Coturnix japonica: one gene and its partner. The protein of the gene in region 1 purifies or fractionates together with the protein of each later gene. This does not show direct contact. Links are inferred from orthologs where the notes say so. Each region holds a gene or a part of one and is shown on either strand. Other genes may lie near its edges.

Region 1 (4,431 bases):
ATGAAGGCTTAAAGATGGTGGTGGGGGGTGGGCACACACAGCCCCCCTCACCCCAGCACCAACCTCAATCTGCCGCACCACGTCCATGCCCTCTGTCACCTCCCCAAACACCACGTGCTTCCCGTCCAGCCAGTCGGTTTTATCACAAGTGATGAAGAACTGGGAGCCGTTGGTGTTCGGGCCGGCGTTGGCCATGGACAGCAACCCTGGGACCAAACAGGGCAGCATTACTGGGAGCAACGCCAATAATTAACTAACCCCCCCCCCCGGGCTGAGCAGACACTGCTGGCTTTAAGAGAGTCTCTGAATATTGGAACTGCGGGAAGTTGATGATGCCAAGAAACACCTCCGGGTATGAACAGAGTGAAGTGGTAGAGAGCATTAATCTATTTTTAACTGTAGCAACAGCAAAGCTTTGGAGATCAGCCTGCTTGCTTTCTGCCACCTTTCCAATGCTCACAGTTAGACTGCACTGCTCCTGCCATAAAGCCCAACAGAAAAGCAGCTTTGAAATTCTCCATGATATGAGACTGGAAATTAACAGCGTGGGGGTAGAAATAGGGGGCAGCATTTCTGCCCACTGAATGCTGTGGGCACACTGCAGTCTGCTCCAGGTGCTGCACCAACACAGACCGGCCCTGGGGCTGCTGCTGTGTGGTCAGAGCAGCTCGAGGTGCCCCACAAACCCCACCCTACCTGGTCCCGTGTGCTTCAGGATGAAGTTTTCATCATCAAACTTCTTCCCATAGATGGATTTTCCTCCGGTGCCGTTGTGGTTGGTGAAGTCCCCAGCCTGGCACATGAACTGGGGGATGATGCGGTGGAAGCTGCTCCCCTTGAAGCCAAAGCCTTTCTCCTGGGTGCAGAGGCAGCGGAAGTTTTCTGTTCAAGGCAAAGGGCAGAGGTGAGCACAGCACTGCAGCCTGTGGGCCACAGTGACAGCAGCGCTGCTCACCTACAGTCATGGGCACCACGTCGGAGCGCAGCAGGATCTTGAGCCGCCCTGCAGGTTTGTTGCCAATCTTGATGTCCATGTAAACTTGGGGGTTGGCCCGGGACTTCTTGGCAGGAGGCTCACCCTATGCGAGGAGAAGGTACACTATGCTGCCACTGCTCAGCTCTGCCACCCAATGGCCAGGCTGACCCCAGCCTGCAGCACAGTGCCAGCAGCAGATCCAGCTCCAGAAGTCCCTGGAGGCAGCATGAAGCAACAGGAGGCTTCTCACAGCCTGGGGGCTGCTGCAGGGTGCAGCTGAAACACACGGCTCCCTATGGGCTCACGGAGCTTTTGGGAGCACAGGGACTGACAGGGCCACAGCTCACTCCTGGCTCTCAAAGCTGACAGCACCCAGTTCCCCATGTGGCCATTCCCCATTCCAAGGCACTCAGCAGGACACAACCAGCTCCATCCATCCCTACCTCCTGTGTCTCTGGTTTGGGTGCCTCTGTTCCTCCTTCCTCTGCGTTCTCCTCCAGGGTCTTTCCTGAGAACCTCTTCAGCCACTCATCATCTGACCACACTGCAGCAAGGGAGGGCAGGATGAGAGCAGGGCGCTGAGCCCAGGGCCATACACGACTCTGGACTCAGCACAGCTCCAGAAGCAGCAGGACTGTAACCCAGGGTGCTGCTGGCCCAACCACCCCCAGAACTGCATGTGGTCACCCCACATCATGGGGACACAGGGACAGAGCCAGCAGCTCCCCCAGGTGAGGGGTACCAACTTACCCGGCCGAGACGATCCTTCTTTAATTCGCATTGGTTTGGCCAAGTTCACTCGAATCGTCCGACCAAAGAGCTCAGACTCATTCTACAGAGGACAAAAAAGCACAAAACCCACCACAAGGTAAAAACTCACTGTGTCCCCTCTGCAGAGAACGGGGCTGTTTTTTTTCTGAGCACTACACGCAGTTCAGGAGCTGCACTGAGCCACAGGCAGCACCAACAGCACCAGCAAAGCAGGGCCGGCATCACAGCTCCGGGATCAGCAGGTCTGCAGCGTCACCAGCACAGAAACACCAAGTGTCCGGGCAGGGCTGAGCCCCGGGGACAGGGCAGGGCAGGGCTCCAGGACTCTGTGATTGTGTGACTCGTACCATGTTGTCAATGGCCGCAGCCGCATCCTGCGTGAAGAGCGACAGGCTCCGTTACACACACGGCGCCCTCTGCCTCTAAAGGCCCCAATGCCCCAACGGGAGACACTCACACCCCGACCCCCACCCCCTCACCTCCGCCAGCTCGAACTCCACGAAGGCGAATCCGCGGTGCTTCTCTGCCAGCAAACAGCCCGGTCACAGCCCGGTCACAGCAGTTACAGCCCGGTCACAGCCCGGTTACACCGGTTACAGCCCGGTTACAGGCCGGTCACATCCCGGTCCCCGCCCCGCCACGCACCGGTCTCGTAGTCCAGCGGGATCTGGATGTCGGTGATGTCGCCGAACGGGATGAAGGCGGCGTGCAGCACCTTCTCGTCCACCTCCTCCGCCAGCCCGCCTGCGGCACACAGCGTTACGGACACACAGCGTTACGGACACACAGCGTTACGGACACACAGCGTTACGGACACACAGCGTTACGGACACACAGCATTATGGCCCACAACACCGTTACGGCCCCTCTCGCCTCCCCGCCGCCCGCCCCACTCACCCACGTACAGCACCCTCTTGGTGGCCGCCATCTTGCCGCCCCACCCCGGAAGTTCGGGCATATCCCGCCCTTCCGCCCAGCGCCGCCCCGGCAGCGCCCCCTGGCGGCGGGGAGGGACGAACCCCCGAACCAGCCCAAAGTGACAAAACTAAAGAGAAACGTGACAAACGCTGAGAAAGTTTTTATTCCTCCATTGCCAAACGATTTTCCAGAACTCTCCAACATGGGCCGTTAAAACCAAAACCACAAAATGCTTTTGTCAACCAGAAACCTTCAAAGTCCTGCATAGAAAAGACTTAAACTCTGCTCACAAAGGAAAAGCTCACAGACTCCATCCAGGCTTTGGGCAGCCAGAGTCGCTCGGTGAGATCCCAAGGGTTAATTACAAAATGCAATAGAACTACGTGATACGGCGCGTGGCATCGAGTCCTGCAGGGCTGCAGCCTCCTCCAGCCGCTGGCTGTGACAGGGGCTGTGACAGGGGCTGTGACAGGGGCTGTTTGGCTTCATTGCATCCTGCAGGGAAAGGAGGAAGATGTTCTGAAGAACTGGCTCCACTCAGACAAGCTCCCACACCAACAACGCCCAGTAACTGCCTGGTTTTATTTACCAAACCTGGAAGCTTTGAATTGAAGCTGAGCACTGAGACACTCACCTGCCCTCCTGGCTTAAGAGGTAGCAGCAACCACACCCACCTTCTGGGCAGCTTCTTTCTTGGCTTGGTGAGCCTGCAGCACTGCAACAGCCTCCTCCACCTGCGGGCAAGAAGATGAGCCAGTAAGAATTCTCTCCCAACCAAAGGGACACACAGTTTGGCCTACAAGGGAACGGGCCGGCTTTACCTTTGAGCGGAGGGACTCTGGAGACTCCAACATGTGCAGCAGCTCCGAGTTGTCAATCTCCAGCAGCATTCCTGTGATCTTCCCTGCAAGGCTGGGGTGCATAGCTTGAATAAGAGGGAACAAACGTTCTCCTAGAAAAAAAAAAAAGGATTTCAGACAGCAGTTTTAATTTAGAAGCTGTCAATGAAACCTCAGGACATTCCCAAAGTAAAATGCAATCTGGAAGAACCTGAGTTTCACTTACCCAGCATCTGTTTCTGCTCCTGGGGAGGGGCAGCAGCCAGCATGGAGGCTGTTAGTGGCTCCTGTCCCTGCACGTGTACTGCAGGCTGAGGTGCCTATAGAAGGGCAGACAGGAGGATGCAAAAATAGATGCTGTGCTGTTTCTGCAAAAACTCTTCAGCTGCATGTCAAACCTGTTGGCCTGCAGCTGCTTCAGGCACAGATCCTTGTGTTACCTGCAAAGGCTGTACAGGTGGGTGTGGGCTGCGGACACTTGAGGCATATTTATAAGGGGGAACTGCTCTGGGAGCAGGAGCAGCCACAGGTGGACGAGGAGCCAAGTTCTGTCCTGCAGTGGTAACACCTGCAAGAGAAGAGAGCAGGATCAAAACCACCATAGGAATGTGCAGCAAGTAACCTGAGGTATCTTAATTACTGCTAAATTCAAACTATGCTCTGCACAGGCCAATATTTGCTTAGGAACTGGTCTCCAAATTACAACTGGATATTCCAGAAAAGAATTATTCTACATTCTGCATTTAAGGTATTTTCTAGTTACTCCCTAACATAAAATTTGAATGCCTCAAGAACAAAACCCATAACCTACAGTCTTATTTAGAGCAGTAAATGTTGCTATAGAGATGAATTCCAAGCAAATGGAAAGTAACCCATCTGGATTTCTGCTGCTGTAGCACCAACTGCCCCCAGACCTGCACTGCTGTC
Region 2 (3,811 bases), on another chromosome or scaffold:
CAAAAATTGTTAGCGTGGTTTTGTTAGATTTAGGTGGTAGTAATATGATGCTTATTGATACTATAGACAGATATTTGTCCAGTTTACTCTCTAGTAGTATTGGATGGGATTTTTTCACCCAAAGGGGTAATTAATATTAGCTATTACTGGATGACTAGTTACAATTAGTTTCTGAAATACAAGCAATGCAAAACAAAACAAATCAAACAAAAACAAAGAAGCGAACATTTCTCATCAGTTGAGAAACGAGATGATTCTTTGAATGACTGACAGCTGGAATATATGCTTACTCATCTTTCAGTATTATTATACAGACTTAGTTGTGTTTGATTGGAGGAAAAGAGGTTATTAAAACAGAGTGACCACCAGCATTCTTCTGGATTAATGCAAATGTTTTAAAGATAGCTTTATTTTCCTGTTTTGATTTACAGAAATTTCAAATGCATCCTTTAGGTTTCCCGTCATGAGCGACGAATATCTCAAATTCAGCAACTCAATCAGATGCCTCTGTATCCCACAGAGAAGATTATTTGGGATGAAAATATTGTTCCAACTGAATATTATTCTGGAGAAGGTATGATTAGCAGTTTAGTAAAGGCTGAAAGGAACAGTAAGTGCCCAAAAAGGCAACCTATGCTTATCCTGTCGTCAGAGTTCATGCAATCATATGGCATCTTTTAGCAAATAGAGTACTTAAAAATCTAAAAGTATGTGTTTACGTAAAGCTGCTTCTTTACTTATAGTCTGTAACAGATAAGCCATTCCCAGCAGTTGATATACCAATACAGGAGTCTCCTGGATATACATGCTGTGCCTGAATGTATCTGATCTTCTTATACGTATATTTTATATATCTATATGTATATATACACACACACACATATATGTATGTATTATATATCTATATTATATATGTCTGTGATATATATATATATATATAAATATATATATAAAATTTTTGAAAAAGTATATAAACATACACTAATGACTATATCATTTTGTTGCACCTGTTTCTGTGGTGTTCTGTAAATTATTAATAATCCTTTAAAGAGTTTTTATTAATGTAAAATGTAATGTGAAACGTAATTTTGGCAAGAAACAGAGATTGTTCACATTTGCTATCTGTACGTTGGTAGCACTTTTGAGAAGCACTTCTGTTACTGTGAGATGATTACAAATATTTTCTTGTTTTTCTTCTCTCAGTTTTAGTTTGTGTTTTCCGCTTTTAAGCTCAGTGTATTTTCCAGCATCATATTTCTTTTGTGTTCTTTAATACAGCTAAATTCTTCTGTCAAAAGGATGAAAATTATTTTAATTTTGTGCAGGTTCATCTAGAGAGAAATTGAAAATTTAGGGGAGGAAAGGATGAAAATATGTATTTGTTAGTACAGTATATCTACAAAAAGAGAAATTCTTGGAATCTCCTATAGTAAGAACTCCAGCAGTTATAGAATAATGTGTTTATGTATTTGTAGTTATGTAGAACTAAAATATTCATTTTCTTTTTTTTTTATTCATTAAATAACTTTTCTCTTCTGATCCTATCCTTCCTTAGGCTGTCTTGCACTTCCCAAACTGAATCTACAGTTTCTGACTCTGCACGATTACTTGCTAAGGAACTTCAATCTGTTTCGCTTAGAGTCAACTTATGAGATCAGACAGGACATTGAAGATAGCGTCAGTAGGATGAAACCATGGTAATATTTATTAAATGACCTGAACCAGTCAACTCAGCTTCAACTGTAAACAAAGTGCATTTGAGAATGAATAACTGATGTTGTCTATGTAGTAAATGCCCAGTAATGCATTTTAAATTATTATAAAATGCTGTGCTTTGTACTAACCTGTTCCCCATTCTGTCAGATGATGTCGCAAGAATAAGTTTGTATGTATACCTGTAGTCTTAACTTAAAGGACTTAATGCTAGAAGTTGGATATTAACAATGTGGTACATATTTTGATTCTGTTTAGATCTTAAGGGGATCATTTGGTGTGGTATCACTTATACCCAGTATTTGCTTTTTCTTATCCTACCTTTTTTCTCTCTCTGTCTTCAGTTTTATTAATAGCACTGGCATGTGATGTCTTGAAATATATTAAAAAAAAAATAAAAATCAGTTCATGTTATACAGTTTAAAAAAAAAAAATAAATACAGGGTTACATGAGTCCAATTCAGCAGCATGTAAAATGAAGACCCTTTTCTTTGAGTTGACTTTGGGGTGAATTGTTTCACACTTTAAAAGCCAAATCTGTTATTGGATAGCAACTAACAAAACTGATTTCTTGTATTTTGTTTGTTCGTGTTTTTTTTTTTTTAGGCTGTCAGAATATGGAGGAGTGGTCTTTGGTGGATGGGCTAGGATGGCACAGCCCATCGTGTCTTTCACAGTGGTAGAGGTTGCAAAGCCCAATATTGGTGAAAACTGGCCCATGCGAGTACGAGCAGATGTCACAATTAATTTGAATGTTAGAGATAGCATCAAAGATGAATGGGAAGGTACTTGTCCTATTCTGTAAACTAAGGTGGTCAAATAACTGCTCATCAAAATGTCCTTTGCACTGATTTTATTAATAAGAAAGGTTTTGTGACTGAGGTAGACTTACCTATCTTAGTATGCTTCAAAAGTGTGGTTTTGATTCTAAGAAATTTAGCCTTTTGTTTTTTAGATTTTGAAAGTGGCAGGGAATGTGATATCTCTCTAATAAAAACACAGTAAGCACTTATTTACTGTACAGATTGCAGAGCACTGTCTTTGTTTGCCTAGCTTGTTTGTGAAGTCTCCTCTATGGAGATCTTCAAAAGCCACTTGGACATGGTCCTGGGCAACCTGCTCTGGGTGGCCTTGCTTGAGCAGGGTAGTTGGACCGGGTAACTTACAGAGGCCCCTTCCAACCTCAGCCATTCTGTGAAAAATGAAGGGTACAGATCTTGAATTAAATCAAGTGTGTATGTTAGCAGTATTCAGTATATTTGAATGTATTTAAGGAGTGCTGAGTATACTAAATAATGTTTTTTCAAAGTATCTGCAAGTGACACTTTTTTGCTTGAGGAGCTGAACTTTACTTGACTGTGTTGGCAAGTGGCATAGTAGCATGTACTTGTATTTGGATTATCAGTAAATGTCACTTCATTTTTTTTTATTATTATTTTTTTTTTTAATAGAAAAATGTTAGTGAAATGTGCTGAAGCTGCACCATGTGATTACAGGTCACATAGCACAAATGCTGAGGCTGGAGCATGTAATAAACAAACAGATATGGAATATTTCCTTACTAGTAACGTTAGGATTATTATTGTCACGTGGAGGATGGAAGCAGACTTCACTATCTTGAGGGCAGTAAATGGCAGGTTTTAAAAATTTCTAGAAGTTTTGATTGAAGTAATCAGTTTTAATGACACTGAAGTGATCTTCAGCCTTAACTTAATTGAGCATCCAACTTGTTACGCGTGCCTGCAGAGCATTTAAAGAATTTGTATTGAACCTTGGGAAAGTCCCCAAAACTTGCAGTGTTTTAAAATAGCCTTCAATGTAAACAGGTTTCTCTGATAGTAACCTACCATTTTTTTTACTTGATGTCTTTGTATTTTCTGTTGTAAGAATGATAGAAACTATAGTTACTGTTATGTAATTATCTTGAAAATAGTCTTCTCATATGCTTTGATAAGGTTTATATTAAATAGCTAGCACTCCTTTACTGTTGATCTCTTGCTCTGTTTGGTCCATGGTTGTCACTAAAATTGTAATGTAATTTCTTAGCCTGCTTTTGCTTCAGAATAATTTTATATATCTTTAAGCACTTTTAAGATTA

The links.
Region 2: the proteins of PPIE (region 1) and AQR purify together in Homo sapiens (affinity purification with mass spectrometry; 5 studies listed by BioGRID and IntAct, counting the BioPlex papers as one, with this or other methods). This does not show direct contact. The link is inferred for Coturnix japonica from reciprocal best matches to the Homo sapiens genes PPIE and AQR.

Annotation. Positions count from the first base shown.
Region 1 is NC_029538.1:4,803,631-4,808,061, forward strand, and holds the start of PPIE (peptidyl-prolyl cis-trans isomerase E), read right to left. Parts: upstream 2,898-4,431; 5' UTR 2,870-2,897; coding exon 2,645-2,869; intron 2,492-2,644; coding exon 2,393-2,491; intron 2,271-2,392; coding exon of another isoform or gene 2,227-2,270; intron 2,122-2,226; coding exon of another isoform or gene 2,095-2,121; intron 1,809-2,094; coding exon 1,727-1,808; intron 1,521-1,726; coding exon 1,420-1,520; intron 1,080-1,419; coding exon 956-1,079; intron 883-955; coding exon 697-882; intron 207-696; coding exon 64-206; intron 1-63. Other genes in the region: PABPC4 (polyadenylate-binding protein 4), read right to left, coding at 3,313-3,399, 3,487-3,617, 3,731-3,824, 3,945-4,072. UniProt on the Homo sapiens protein: Involved in pre-mRNA splicing as component of the spliceosome. Combines RNA-binding and PPIase activities.
Region 2 is NC_029520.1:29,052,605-29,056,415, forward strand, and holds part of AQR (RNA helicase aquarius), read left to right. Parts: intron 1-453; coding exon 454-574; intron 575-1,555; coding exon 1,556-1,697; intron 1,698-2,319; coding exon 2,320-2,498; intron 2,499-3,811.